2 linked regions of the Stegostoma tigrinum genome follow. The main gene of each other region encodes a partner of the protein of the gene in region 2 in a complex. Links are inferred from orthologs where the notes say so. Each region holds a gene or a part of one and is shown on either strand. Other genes may lie near its edges. The genes, in order: cnot11 and CCR4-NOT transcription complex subunit 6.

Region 1 (7,079 bases), on a different chromosome or scaffold from region 2:
GTGCAGTCTGGGTGGTGTGGACTTCTATGCTGTAGACTTCTACAACTCTATCAAGTAAACCAAGTGTCTCAATCCCAATTCCTAGAAAACAGCATTATAAATGCTTCTCCAGTCTGGAAAATATTGGCCATTTTTCTGTTTCCTGTCACTCAGCCAATTTTGTATCCATGTTGTTACTGTCCCTTTCATTCCATGAGCTATAACTTTTCTCAAGTTTTTTGTATCTAATGCCTTTTGAAAAGCATGTACATCACATCAAAGCACTATCTGCATGGACCCTCTGCGTTACTGCCCCAAAACAAAACCTCCAGCAAGTTAGTTAAACAGTCTCACCTTTAAAAATTCATGCTAACTTTTCTCAATCAAGCAAAATTTTACCACGTGATAACTAATTCTATCCTGAATAACTGCTTCTAGAAACTTCCTTTGTGAAGTTAAAAAGACTGGTCTATAATTGCTGGGCTCACACTTACAACCCTTACTGCACATGGACATGATGTCTGCAATTTTTCAGTTCCTGAGTCTGGAGAAGATTGAAAGACTATGACCATTGCCCTCCAAGAGCCACTCTCATGTCCTTCAATATGCTTGAATGCAACTCATCTGGTCCCAAGTACCATTTTGAACCTTCTAGTGACTCAATTTTCTTCTCGGTTGTTTCGGTCTGCGCAGCATTACCATCTTGGCAAACATTGAAGCAATGCAAATTAGACAAGCAGCTTGCTCTTGGGATGTTGCTGCTTTTGAACAAGTTGCTAGGTGAGTAAAGCAGGTTAACTTAATAATAAGGGGTAGCAAGGTGTAGAGCTGGATGAGCACAGCACTTCTTTTCTGAAAAAGGGTCTAGGCCCGAAACATCAGCCTTCCTGCTCCTCTGATGCTGCTTGGCCTGCTGTGTTCACCCAGCTCTACACCTTGCTATCTCAGATTCTCCAGCATCTGCAGTTCCCACTATCTCTAACTTAATAATAAGATCCATCTCACATTCTATTGTTTTGCCAGGCTTTTCTAAAGCCATCTGCTTTTTTTCAAAGAATGCAAATTTCAATTTAATACATTTGTCCCCATCATATAAGAACAGGAGTGGCAGACATCCTGTTCATTCTGAGAGCTGGCTCTGATGGAGCTGGATCAGTGACAAAGACTCTTCACATGTAAGTAAAGAGTGACTTAGCGATGGGATACCAGACTCTCTGAAGTTATTTCAGTAGCGACAAATAAAAAGCACACTCCTGAAGTTATCTTTTCTGGCATCATGCCAATATTTGGGAAGCTTGATTCTTGCTGTTGAAGACTAGGCACAGTATTAGAAAGCATGCATAATTTTTTCTGGGCAAATGACATTAGTGTGGATGAAAACCAACATGTGCATCCCAGGGCCAGTCCGGCTTGTCCCTGCCTCCCTGTTCTTCCGCTCGCCCATCCCCTCCTCCCACCTCAGGGCACGCCTCAATTTCCTACCTACTAACCAGCAGCAGTTGTGGATGCAAGGTCATTGGGGACATTTAAGAGTCTGCTGGACATGCATATGGTCACAGAAATTTGAGGGTGCATACATGAGGATCAATGGTCGGCACAACATTGTGGGCTGAAGGGCCTGTTCTGTGCTGTACTGTTCTATGTTCTATATAGTTTACTACTAGATTTATATAAGTAACATGAGTAAGAGGACCCAAACAAGAGTTAGCATTTATGTTCGACAGCTATTTACATTCCAGCACATACTGAATTGACGACTCCAATGAATGCACAAAGCTAATCAATTAACTTCTGTGATAGGTCTACCATTAAGGTTAAGATCAGGATCTGTACATTTTTAAAGCTCACCTGCTTTCTACAATTTTTATCCCGGTAATAAAGCAGAATTTAAATGAAAACAGTTAGCTGGCCACTGTCATAACAATCATTTGGTTCCACCACAATGGGAAATTTTGAGGATGTTAAAACAAAAAGCTCACATTCCTCGTCCTTTCAACTACTGAAACTGAACTCTGAAACAGATGAAGCAGAATTTGAGCTGACTTCAAAAGAGCAAAGGTTCTAACAAGCTGCCTCTAAATTCCCTGGTGTGCGTTTTCATCTTATTTTACTGAGGTAGTGATCTGCTCCAGAGAAGTTACTTTAAAGGCCACCTGCATGAGTAGAACACCCCATTCAATCCATAAGACATAGGAACAGAAGTAAGGCCATTTGGCCCATCGAGTCCACTCCGCCATTTAAATCATGGCTGATGGGCATTTCAACTCCACTTCCCTGCGCTCTCCCCGTAGCCCTTGATTCCTTGTGAGATCAAGGATTTATCAATCTCTGCCTTGAAGGCATCTAACGTCCCGGCCTCCACTGCACTCCATGGCAATGAATTCCACAAGCCCACTATCTGGCTGAAGAAATGTCTCCTCATTTCCGTTCTAAATTTACCCCTTCTAATTCTAATCCCGCAAAGCCTTCGAAACGTTTCACCTACAGAACTCACTCTGAAGGTAAACTGAGTATTGCTGTGTGGAGACTGGAATTCTAACAATGTGTTCATATCCAACAGCTTCAAGATTCACACCAATCTGTTGCTCCGTGGTATGGAAAGATAGAAAAATCCTGGCTACTCATGTTTTCGGTCCACCGTGAGGCTGAGAGTCACCGACTGGGGAAAGGGGAATGGTAACGTCTCCCAGCCCAGGCTTACCCAGCAGCTGCTTCTCCTGCTCCTCGGCAACCGGGGCGGCGTTAAGGAGGTGGGCGAAGACGGCGGCGAAGGGGTTGGCGGCCAGCGGCTCAGTACGGTACATCTCCCACAGCAGGTAGAGGGCGGTGAGCCGTTGCTGGGGGCTCGGCAGCAAGTCGGCTTGTTGCAGCAACATGACGAGCGTGGAGCCGACTCGGAAGTGGTCGTGCTTGGCGAAGTAGTGGTGGAAGGCGGTGGACAGGCCCTCGAAGGTGTTACTGGTCGCTTCCTCACAGATGATGCCGATCAGGCTGCTCAGCTCCTTGGGAGCCAGAGTCATGGTGCCCCGGGGGCCCGTGAGCCCGGAGGCCGGCTCCACCACCAGAAACGTCCCCTTGCGTGGGGAGAAACAAACAAAAAAAAACACCACAGCGCACCTCCCTCTTCCCTCCGAGCGGAGCTACACCCCGAGCCACACTGCGCGACAGCCCTGCCGCAGGCCGCCGAAAACTGCCGCAAAACCAAACAAAAAATTTGGCGCCCCCGTTTCACAGCACTGTCGCAAAACCTGGCCTTAAGGGCCGGGGTTAAGTTTCAGCCGCAAAATGGAAAGAGATTGTCTTCGGGAATGTGTTTCCTTTATTCTTTATTCATTCATGGGAGGAAAGTGACACTGGCTAGGCAGTATTTATTGCCCATCCCTAGTTGCCCTGCGTGGAAATGTGGAGAGAGACTGGATTAGAGTCATAGAGTTGTACAAGCAGAGAAACAGACCCTTCTGACCAACACATCTATGCAGAACAGCTATCCTAAATTAATCTAGTCCCATTTGGCCCATATCTCTCTAAACCTTTACTGTACATATATCCAGCTAGATGCCTTTTAAATGTGGTAATTGTACTTGACTCCACCACTTCCTCTGGCAACTCCATTCCATACATGCAGCACCCTCTGTGTGAAAAAGTTGCCCATTAGGTCCCTTTTAAATCTTTCCCCTCTCATTATAAACCTGTGCCCTCTTGTTTTGGACTCCCCGACTCTGGGGAAAACACTGATCGCCCTAGCGATGCCCGTCATGATTTCATAAGCCTCTGAGGCACCTTGCAGCCTTTCACACCCCAAGGAAAATAGCCCCAGCCTATTCAGCCTCTCCCAACAGCTCAAATCCTCCAATCCTGGTAACATCCTTGTGTAATCTTTTCTGAACCTTTTCAAGTTTCACGACAACCTTCCTATAGCAAGGAGACCAGAATTGAACGCAGCATTCCAGAAGTGGCCTAATCAATGTCCTGCATAGTCGCAATATGATCTCCCAACTCCTATACTCAATGTAATAAAATGTGAGGCTGGATGAACACAGCAGGCCCAGCAGCATCTCAGGAGCACAAAAGCTGACGTTTCGGACCTAGACCCTTCATCAGACTGGGGGTTGTGGTGAGGGTTCTGGAATAAATAGGGAGAGGGGGGAGGCGGACGAAGATGGAGAGAAAAGAAGATAGGTGGAGAGGAGGGTATAGGTGGAGGGTAGGGAGGGGATAGGTCAGTCCAGGGAAGATGGATAGGTCAAGGAGGTGGGATGAGGTTAGTAGGTAGGAGATGGAAGTGCGTCTTGGGGTGGGAGGAAGGGATGGGTGAGAGGAAAAACAGGTTAGGGAGGCAGAGACAGGTTGGACTGGTTTTGGGATGCAGTGTGTGGAGGGGAAGAGCTGGGCTGGTTGTGTGGTGCAGTGGGGGGAGGGGACGAACAGGGCTGGTTTTGGGATGCGGTGGGGGAAGGGGAGATTTTGAAGCTGGTGAAGTCCACATTGATACCATTGGGCTGCAGGATTCCCAAGCGGAATATGAGTTGCTGTTCCTGCAACCTTCGGGTGGCATCATTGTGGCACTGCAGGAGGCCCATGATGGACATGTCATCTAGAGAATGGGAGGGGGAGTGGAAATGGTTTGCGACTGGGAGGTGCGGTTGTTTATTGCGAACCGAGCGGAGATGTTCTGCAAAGCGGTCCCCAAGCCTCCGCTTGGTTTCCCCAATGTAGTGGAAGCCACACCGGGTACAGTGGATGCAGTATACCACATTGGCAGATGTGCAGGTGAACCTCTGCTTAATGTGGAAAGTCATCTTGGGGCCTGGGATGGAGGTGTGGGGGCAAGTGTAGCATTTCCTGCGGTTGCAGGGGAAGGTGCCAGGTGTGGTGGGTTTGGAGGGCAGTGTGGAGCGAACAAGGGAGTCACGGACACAGTGGTCTCTCCGGAAAGCAGACAGGGGTGGGGATGGAAAAATGTCTTGGGTGGTGGGGTCAGATTGTAGATGGCGGAAGTGTCGGAGGATGATGCGTTGTATCCGGAGGTTGGTGGGGTGGTGTGTGAGAACGAGGGGGATCCTCTTTGGGCGGTTGTGGTGGGGGCGGGGTGCGAGGGATGTGTTGCGGGAAATGCGGGAGACACGGTCAAGGGCGTTCTCAAACACTGTGGGGGGAAAGTTGCGGTCCTTGAAGAACTTGGACATCTGGGATGTGCGGGAGTGGAATACACCTCCTCCCACCCACCCTCCTGCAAAAATTCCATCCCCTATTCTCAATTCCACCGCCTCTGCCGCATCTGCTCCCACGATGAGGCATTCCACTCCCGCACATCCCAGATGTCCAAGTTCTTCAAGGACCGCAACTTTCCCCCCATAGTGGTCGAGAACGCCCTTGACCGTGTCTCCCGCATTTCCCACAACACATCCCTCACACCCCGCCCCCACCACAACCGCCCAAAGAGGATCCCCCTCGTTCTCACACACCACCCCACCAACCTCCGGATACAACGCATCATCCTCCGACACTTCCGCCATCTACAATATGACTCCACCACCCAAGACATTTTTCCATCCCCACCCCTGTCTGCTTTCTGGAGAGACCACTCACTCCCTTGTTTGCTCCACACTGCCCTCCAAACCCACCACACCCGGCACCTTCCCCTGCAACCGCAGGAAATGCTACACTTGCCCCCACACCTCCTCCCTCACCCCTATCCCAGGCCCCAAGATGACTTTCCATATTAAGCAGAGGTTCACCTGCACATCTGCCAATGTGGTATACTGCATCCACTGTACCCGGTGTGGCTTCCTCTACATTGGGGAAACCAAGCGGAGGCTTGGGGACCGCTTTGCAGAACACCTCCGCTCGGTTCGCAATAAACAACTGCACCTCCCAGTCGCAAACCATTTCCACTCTCCCTCCCATTCTTTGGATGACATGTCCATCATGGGCCTCCTGCAGTGCCCCAATGATGCCACCCGAAGGTTGCAGGAACAGCAACTCATATTCCACTTGGGAACTCTGCAGCCCAATGGTATCAACGTGGACTTCACCAGCTTCAAAATCTCCCCTTCCCCCACCGCATCCCAAAACCAGCCCAGCTCTTCCCCTCCACCCACTGCATCCCAAAACCAGTCCAACCTGTCTCTGCCTCCCTAACCTGTTCTTCCTCTCACCCATCCCTTCCTCCCACCCCAAGCCGCACCTCCATCTCCTACCTACTAACCTCATCCCACCTCCTTGACCTGTCCGTCTTCCCTGGACTGACCTATCCCCTCCCTACCTCCCCACCTATACGCTCCTCTCCACCTATCTTCTTTTCTCTCCATCTTCGGTCCGCCTCCCCCTCTCTCCCTATTTATTCCAGAACCCTCACCCCAACCCCCTCTCTGATGAAGGGTCTAGGCCCGAAACGTCAGCTTTTGTGCTCCTGAGATGCTGTTGGGCCTGCTGTGTTCATCCAGCCTCACATTTTATTATCTTGGATTCTCCAGCATCTGCAGTTCCCATTATCACTCCTATACTCAATGTACAGGCCACTAATGACAAGCGTACCAAATACCTTCACTAACCTGTCTACTTAGAACTCCATTTTCAAGGAATTATGTAGCTGCACTCCAAGGTCTCTTTGTTTAGCAACACTGCCCAGGACCTTACCGTTTACTTTTCCATAATGCAGCACCTTACGTTTATCTAAATTAAATGCCATCCGCCACTCCTCAGCCCATTGGCCCATCTGATCAAGGTCCCATTGTACTCTGAGGTAAACGTTTCACTGTCGACTACACAGCCAATTTTGGTGTCATCTGCAAACTTAGTAACTATATTTCCTATATTCACACCAAATCATATATATAAATGACAAAAAACAGTGAATCCAGCATTGATCCTTATGGCACACCGATAGTCATAGGCCTCCAGCCTGAAAGCAATCCTCTGTCACTACCCTCTGTCTCTCGCCTTTGAGCCAGTTCTGTATCCAAATGGCTACTTCTCCCTGTATTCCATGTGACCAATCTACCATGCAGAATCATATTGAACCCCTTACTGAAGTTCATACAGATCATGTCCTTTGCCTTTATTAAGCCTCTTTATTACTGGTCCGATAAACTCAATCA
Region 2 (8,123 bases):
TGGTAATAATTCAAAGCTCATTTTTAAGGATGAGACTGCAGTGTACTTGGGAGTACTTGGTAAAATAGGATTGACTCAGCACAGCTTTGTCAAGGAGAGGTCGTGTCTAATGAATCTGTTAGAATTCTTTGAGAAGGTAATGAACAAGTTAGACAAAGGACAGCAAGTGGACATAATCTATTTGGATTTCCAGAAGGTCTTGACAAGGTGCTGCACAGGAGGCTGCTAAATAACAGCCCATGGTGTTGTGGGCAAGGAACTGGCATGGTTAGAAGATTGGCTAACTGGCAGAAGGTCAGAATTGGGGATAAAGGCTCTTTCACAGGATGTCAGCAAGGTGACTAGCGGAGTTCCACAGGGGTCCATGTTGGGACCACAATCACTTGTGTTATATTTTCACGATCTGGATGAAACTGCGCATTTGCTGCCATATTTTCAGATGACACAAAGATAGGTGGACAGAGAGGTAGGTTGTAGAAGGACTTGAACAGACTGAGAGAGTGGGCAAAGAAGTGGGGGATAGAATACAATATGGGAAAGCATGAGGTTGCACACTTTGATAAGAATAATAGAAGCGTAGACTATTTTCCAAATGGGTGAAGACTTCAGAAATCTGAAGCACAAAGAGACCTAGGAGTGCTCGTACAGGACTCTTTTAAGGTTAACCCGCTGATTCAGTTGGCAATTAGGAAAACCAAGATGACAGCAGTGTAGCAGCACAGCGTAAGGATTCCTGCCCAAAGCTCATCTGCTCCACTTGCTTTTACTATTTTTTCCACTTCCACAGGTTTCTTTCCTTACTTTGATCAAACTTATCTTCTGTGGAGAGCAAGTTTGTGCAGCATGGAGGGAAGCAAGCCTAGTGCATGGGAAATTGAGCCATAGCGGGGACAGCAAGCCCGACAAGGCGGTGAGAGAAGTCCTTTAACATTTGTGGTGACCCTGAATGCAGGGATTCCAGGTCGCCTGGCATCTGCGGTGGCAGTGAGCATGGGGAAGATCGAACTTAACTTCTGGAGGGAGCTCAGTCAAGGCAGTGGTGGCAATGGAATTGTCGCTTTGCTGGGCCTGGAGCATGGCAGTGGCTGGGATATCGGAGCAGGGACTTTAGCAGTCAGTGTCTTCGTAGCTCATGAGGTTTGGAACATAGCAGCAGCTGGAAGCCTAGATGAGGGTTTTGACGGTTGGAAATTGAGCCTGAAGCAGGAAAATGAGTCCAATGCAGCAATAAGAGATGTCCCCTGGCATCTGCAGTAGTGGCGAGAGGAGGCAGCCCAAGATCTCCCGGAGAGATGGCCAAAGTGGAGGAGATTGAGCCCTTGTATGGAGTGCGAGCTCAGCATGGCTAAGCACTTAAGATTGTTGAACTTTTAGCTATTTCTTTACTTTTCTTTACTTTTTACTTTACAGTTTTCAGACCCGTAGCTCGGGATGGATCTGCTGGCATTGGGAGGAGGTCCACAAGATGATCCCAGGAATGAAAAGCTTGTCATGTGCAAAGTGGTTGAGGACTCTGAGGAATGAAGAAGGATCTCATTAAATACTGAGAAGCCTGGATAGAGTGGATGTGGAGATTATTCCACTAGTAGCAGGGAACAGGATCTGAGGGTCCAGCACCAGAGTGAAGGGACAACCCTTTAGAATAGATATGAGGAGAAGTTTCATCAGCCAGTGGGTGAATCTGTGGAACTCTTTACCACAGAAAGCGGTGGAGTTCAAATCATTGAATGGCTTACAGAGAGAGATGGATAGATTCTTGATGCACAAGGGGGTCAAGGATTAGGGGAGAAGGCAGGTGGATGGGCTTCAGAATCATTTCAACCATGATTGAACGGTGGAGCAAACTCAATGTTCGAATGGCCTAATTCTGCTCTTACATCTTATGGTCACTTCTGACCTAATGTTGATGGGACGGTCATTGATACAAGAAGCTGAAGGTGTTTGGGCCTAAAACAATAACAAATTATGGCTGTTGTAATGCAGTGGTAGTGTTTCTATCTCTGAGACAGAAGGCAAGTTCAAGTCGCACCTGCTCCAGAGATGTGTAGTAACAGCTCTGAACAGACTGGTTAGAACAGACTGATCTGTGATTTATTTGATTGACCTTTAACAATGACATCTTAGTTTGTGTTTGATATGTCTCCAACCAATGGAGTTCCGCCCATTGATTCCCATTGACATTAGTTTTCCTAAAGGCCCTTGATTCCAGGCATGGTCAAATGCTGTTTTGATACTAACAGCAAATACTTTCACCTTACACCTTCTTTTTATAAGTTCTGTACAAGATCAGACTAAAGCTGTATTGAGTTTGGGTTCTAGCAGGGACACTCAACCCCTGGCCTGAGTGGAAAACTTCCCCAAATAGCAGTGGAGGCTAGGTAATTGAATAGATTCAAATCTCAGTTACACAGTTTGTTTATTATCAAAGGAGGTAAAAGTTAAGGATGGTGGTGGGGATCAGGCTGAAAAATTGAGTTAAGACCAAATTAGATCAGCCATGATGACCCCAAACAGTGGATAGTTTTCTCCTGATTCCACTGATGCCAGTTTTGCTCAGTATGTCAGAAACTTTACTGCAGAATAATTTGCAAGTGAGCAAAACATTTTCCAGGACACAATGAAGATTGGCCACAGATTTCACAAACTTGTGGGCAACTTTGCTCAAGGCAGTCTAATGGAGTGGGAATTCAGTAATATTGTTGACCTGAAGTGTTAGTGGTTTCTCTCTCAATCGGTTTCACTTGACCAGTTGAGCATTTTCAGTAAATTCTCTATGATTTTAAAAGCGGTGAGAATAGGATTTACATTCTAAAAGGATGTCCCTGGGAAGTGAGAGATAATAGGAACTGCAGATGCTGGAGAATCCGAGATAACAAGGTGTAGAGCTGGATGAACACTGCAGGCCAAGCAGCATCATAGGATCAGGAAGGCTGACGTTTCAGGCCTAGACCCTTCATCAGAAATGGGGGAGGGGAAGAGGGTTCTGAAATAAATAGGGAGAGAGGGGGAGGCAGATATAAGATGGGTAGAGGAGAAGATAGATGAAATGGAGACGAGACAAGTCAAAGATGGAGCCAGTAAAAGTGAGTGTAAGTGGGGAGGTAAGGAGGAGATAGGTCAATCCAGGGAGGACGGACAGGTCAAGGGAGCAGGATGAAGTTAGTAGGTAGGAAATGGTGCTGTGGCTTGAGGTGGGAGGAGGGGATAAGTGAGAGGAAGAACAGTTCAGGGAGGCGGGGATGAGCTGGGCTGGTTTTGGGATGCAGTAGTGGGAGGGGAGATTTTGAAGCTTGTGAAATCCACATTGATACCATTGGGCTGCAGGGTTCCCAAACATCATCCTCCCTAACCCTATCGCATCCTCCGACACCTCTGCCATCTGCAATCTGACCCAGCCACCAAAGATATTTTCCCCTCCCCACCCTTGGCTGCTTTCCGGAGGGACCACTCTCTCTGTGACTCCCCTGTCTGCTCCACACTCCCCTCCAGCCCCACCACACCTGGCACTTTTCCCTGAAACTGCAGGAAGTGCTACACCTGCCCTACACCTCCCCCCTCACCCCCATCTAGGCCCCAAGAAGACTTTCCACATCAAGGAGATGCACATCTGCTAATGTGGTACACTGCATCCGCTGTACCCATTGTGGCCTCCTCTTTATGGGGAAACCAAGCTTGGGGACTGCTTTGCAGAACAACTACACTTGGTTCGCAATAAACAACTGCACCTCCCAGTTGTGAACCATTTCAACTCCCCCTCCTATTCCTCAGACAACATGTCCATCCTGGGCCTCTTGCAGTGCCACAACGATGCCACCCAATGGTTGCAGGAACAGCAACTCATATTCCACTTGGGAACCCTGAAGCCCAATGGTATCAATCTCCACTCCCCCTACCACATCCCAAAACCAGCCCAGCTTGTCCCCGCCTCCCTAACCTGTTCTTCCTCTCACCTATCTCCTCCTCCCACCTCAAGCCACACACCCATTTCCTACCTAGTAACCTCATCCCGCCCCCTTGACCTGTCCGTCCTCCCTGGACTGATCTATCTCCTCCCTAACTTCCCACTTACACCCACCTTTACTGGCTCCATCGCTGCCTCTTTGACCTGTCTGTCTCCTCTCCACCTATCTTGTCCTCTATCCATCTTCTGTCTGCCTAGCCCTCCCTATTTATCTCAGAACCCCTTCCCCTCCTCCATTTCTGAAGAAGGGTCTAGGCCCAAAACGTCAACCTTCCTGATCTGATGATGCTGCGTTCATCCAGCTCTACACCTTGTTGTCCCTGGGAAGTGAGAGTTGAGGTGCAACAGGAGTCCACAAATGACATAGATAGGATGGTGCTGGAGTAGTGATCACAGTCAATGGTGAAGTTAGAAAATGATAAACTTGATGAAAGAGGCAGCAGGATTTCTCGCACAGGTTGTAAGGAGGGCAAGGTGTTAATTGAGTGGGGCAGCATGTAACAAATAAGAAAAGCTGGGACTTATTAAGAATAAACAAAGCAGCGTGTAAAGTGAAAGATGGAAAGGGTAAACATGGGATTAGGAAGGTGGTGGATGCTTGGCTGAAGTTCAGGTATTAGTAAAATTGAAAACCTATTGAAGGGAAACGACTGAACCGTCAATATCATTCCACGTCCAGTTAGCTGGTGGGGATCTAGCGCAATGCCTGGAAGTGCGACCTAATTCGAGTTACAAGATGTTAAATTAGCTCTAACAAGTTACAAGCAATAAAAACGGATCAAATATTCCTTTAAAGTCGGCACTCATTGATAGTTTTAAGCGGAGTGAAAATTACATGTTAACCCTCATCCGTTGTTGAACTTCCATTGGGCTAGTAACTTGCCATGCGGCTCCTAATTGCTTCCTTTGACGAAACTCAAGAAACAAGGTAAACGACAAACCTACGCTCGATATAATTAAGCCAATCAAATTTACGGGTATTTCCCCACCCCGCCCAAGACGGCGCTTTCAAAACAAATAAGTTCCACACAAGGAGGGGGAGAAGCAGAGGTAGTTTGTAAAATTTAAGAACATGACCTGCCGAGTGCGTATAGCTATCCAGCGGACATGCACGCCTTAATATGGACAAATCGATTTTGCTCGGTCAAAAGAGATGATTAGGGCCTTCGGCCGTCCTCACCGTTGCAGTCTCTGTAGTTTGAACGGGAATCGGCGCGCAGCGGGACATTCCGGCCAGAAGGCTCGCGCTGTCCTCAACAGCCGCAACACGCACCCCTTCCGGCGCGAGCCGCTCGTTCCGACTCTGTTTGTTTTGCTTCACGCGAGGCCGAGTGGTACGGTCCACGCTGTAGCCAATCAGCGAGCCGCAAAGGAGGGGAAAACTCTCCGGGAAATAATGGAAAGCGGGCGCCATGATGATTGTTTGCTTTTAGAACGGGTTCGCTGGGTTTGTAGGCGAAGGGAAGAAAGGTCTAGAACTTTTGTTATGTGTTCGCAGGTATAAAAATGTTTTCTCACTTCAAACCTCACGGTTTAAGGTTTCACTTTACCTGAGCAAAGCAGGGAATTAAAGGTATTTATTTGTAACGTTCTGAACCTTGCGAGGTTTTTTAGTATTTAAATTTAGAACTTCCAGCTCAAGTTTTTTTAAAAAAAGACTTAGCTAATTTGTTTGACTTTGTCGGCTTCGTTCGTTTTATTTGAGTCACCTCTTTGCCCTAAAAGTCATTTGAGTCTCGGTTGAACGGAAAACTAAGTCGCTTCTTTTATGTAGTCAATGCGAGGCCTACACGTTAGTAGTAGGGGGAGCTTTTATTTGAACGACGGAGCGACCTAGCTTTGTGGCGGAAGTGTGCGTGTGTGGTTTGATTGACAACTGAACGCGCCACTCAAACACAAACCGTTCACCAATGTGGCGCACGGCGGGTTTTTATCGACCAATGGATGCAGTGTAGGGGCGGGACATCCGTGATGAAGGTAGGTTGATTTTTAGAACGTAGTTCTTTGCGCCCCAGTATGATAATGGTAAATACTAGTGATGTGTGATTTGGGGGCGCTTAATTAGTGTACAAATTACTACAGGGTACACGCACTCATTTTGTATACTATAACGTTTCACCAGTTCGGTTGGTAAGTGAATATAGGTACAGCATCTGGAAAACAAAGTATTGAACTACTACTTCCCCTAAATGTACTAGTTTTGAAATCACAATTCAGGTATATCCACTTCACCGCCACTTTTTTGCCGTTACCTATTTTCGGGTGGCCTGAACAATCGCTGAAGTTTTTGAAACTACGTGTTTAGATCATAGACATGAACTTGGAATAAAATTCGTTGCTAAAGTGGATGACGAGGACAAAACACTATTATGCTTTTAATTGCAATTCTAGCGATAACGTCGATTGCAAAAACCCCAGTAACTTTTCCACGTGATGCTGCTGCGATTGAATGTCCTTTTTAAGGCACCCTGTAGAGTTGGGGGTGGGGGTGCGGTGAGAAAGAAACAGGTGAAAACAACTTCGGCATTAAGGATATAGGAAGTATTTTCCCTGAAGAAATGTAAAATGTAGGGACTGCTCTTCCGTCACTACTTATTTTCTAATTCTTCTGTGTTGCCTTAGCATTTAGGTAAAATGCTTTCAAGTTATAACTGGAATCATAGGATTTAACAGCAAGTTGGCTGTACAGACATGGCGCTTGTGCCAGCTCTCATATTCCAAATCCCTCTTGTATATGCACCCTTAAACACTTTTTGCTATGTCTTTCTGACGGCCTTCATTGTGCCTAATGATTAGGAATTTCTTGCCATCGGTTTGTCTGATCTGACTGCTTGCGTCCTGTATTTTAAGAATCTTCATTCTTTTAGTTAATGTTCATCTACTTTTATTAAGACTGGTTTTACGTACCTAATTCCACAGTCCTGTTCAACTTTGAACAGAAAGCTGATGGTTGAAAATACAGTGCAGCAATTGCTTGGGGGGGAAAAAAATCCAACTGCATATGTATAGGAAATAAGTGTTAGGTTTGACTAAATCCTTTTTTGAATACAAATATTGTGCATTTTTCATGTGGGTATCACCAGTAAGGCCAACATTTGTCACCCATCTCTGCATGTTGGTGGCATGAAGGTGCTTTTGACCATCTGCTGAAATGACTATTGCCAGTACACACAACTTTTCGTAGGAAAGGAGTTCCAGGACTTAGTTCCATGCTTGTGAAGGAGCTGTGATTGTGGTCGTAAGTCAGATGTCTGTTTGACTTAGAGGAACTTCCAGCCGGCAGCATTCCCATGCACCCATTGCCCTTGCCCTTGCCCTTCCAGGTGTTAGGGGTAGTGGATTGGGAAGGTACTGTTGGAGGCTTGAGTTGCTGTTGCCTATTCTCTACAACATGATGCTGTCACTTTACATTTGTTGTGAAGAGGTCTTGCTTAAATGGACAATTGTTTTAAATATAACTTCTCAATGCTGTTGAGCATCATGAATGGTGCTATCCATTCAGGCAATCGAGAGTTCTGTCAACATCCTGTCTGGTGCCTTTACAGATGGTAGACAAACTTGAATTCCCAGCCTTGGATTTCCTCTTGTAGCCATAATTTTAAGATTGGTTGTCCACTTCAGTTTCTGGACACAGATCACCACTAGGAGGATGTTAGTGAGGATTCAGCAATAGTGATACCATTCATAGACAAGACATAGTCATTGTTTGATACTTGAGTAGAGTGAATGTTAGTTGCTGCTTAAACACAAACCTGAATGTTGTTCAGATTGTGCTACATATTTACACAGATGTATTCAGTGTTGAATGAGTTTGAAATGGTGAGTATTGGACTCACCAATCATGTCCAGTTCTAACCTTCTAATGGAAGCATCGAAGTTGCTGCAGTTAATTAGGCCTGGAGGAACTCTTACAGCAGCTTACTGGAACTGAGATGATTGACATCCAGCATGCCTTACCATCTTGCTTTTGTGCAAGATGTGACTCGAACTAGTAGACACTTTCCCATCAATTCAGTGATATTAACTTTTTACTTTTGGCCAGGGTGCCTCGAGTTTGTTTTTAAACTATCCTATAATTTTCTGTTCCAGAATAATTTCCATTTTGTTTCATGGCTAAATCTGCTTTCATATTGTCAATATCTTTCTTCCAATGGCTGTAGCT

The links.
Region 1: CCR4-NOT transcription complex subunit 6 (region 2) and cnot11 share a complex: the UniProt entries of both Homo sapiens proteins name them as parts of the CCR4-NOT complex. The link is inferred for Stegostoma tigrinum from reciprocal best matches to the Homo sapiens genes CNOT6 and CNOT11.

Annotation. Positions count from the first base shown.
Region 1 is NC_081359.1:60,459,099-60,466,177, reverse strand, and holds the start of cnot11 (CCR4-NOT transcription complex subunit 11), read right to left. Parts: upstream 3,192-7,079; 5' UTR 3,000-3,191; coding exon 2,681-2,999; intron 1-2,680. UniProt on the Homo sapiens protein: Component of the CCR4-NOT complex which is one of the major cellular mRNA deadenylases and is linked to various cellular processes including bulk mRNA degradation, miRNA-mediated repression, translational repression during translational initiation and general transcription regulation.
Region 2 is NC_081366.1:37,288,045-37,296,167, forward strand, and holds the start of CCR4-NOT transcription complex subunit 6, read left to right. Parts: upstream 1-5,023; 5' UTR 5,024-5,534; intron 5,535-5,544; exon of another isoform or gene 5,545-5,938; intron 5,939-8,123. UniProt on the Homo sapiens protein: Poly(A) nuclease with 3'-5' RNase activity.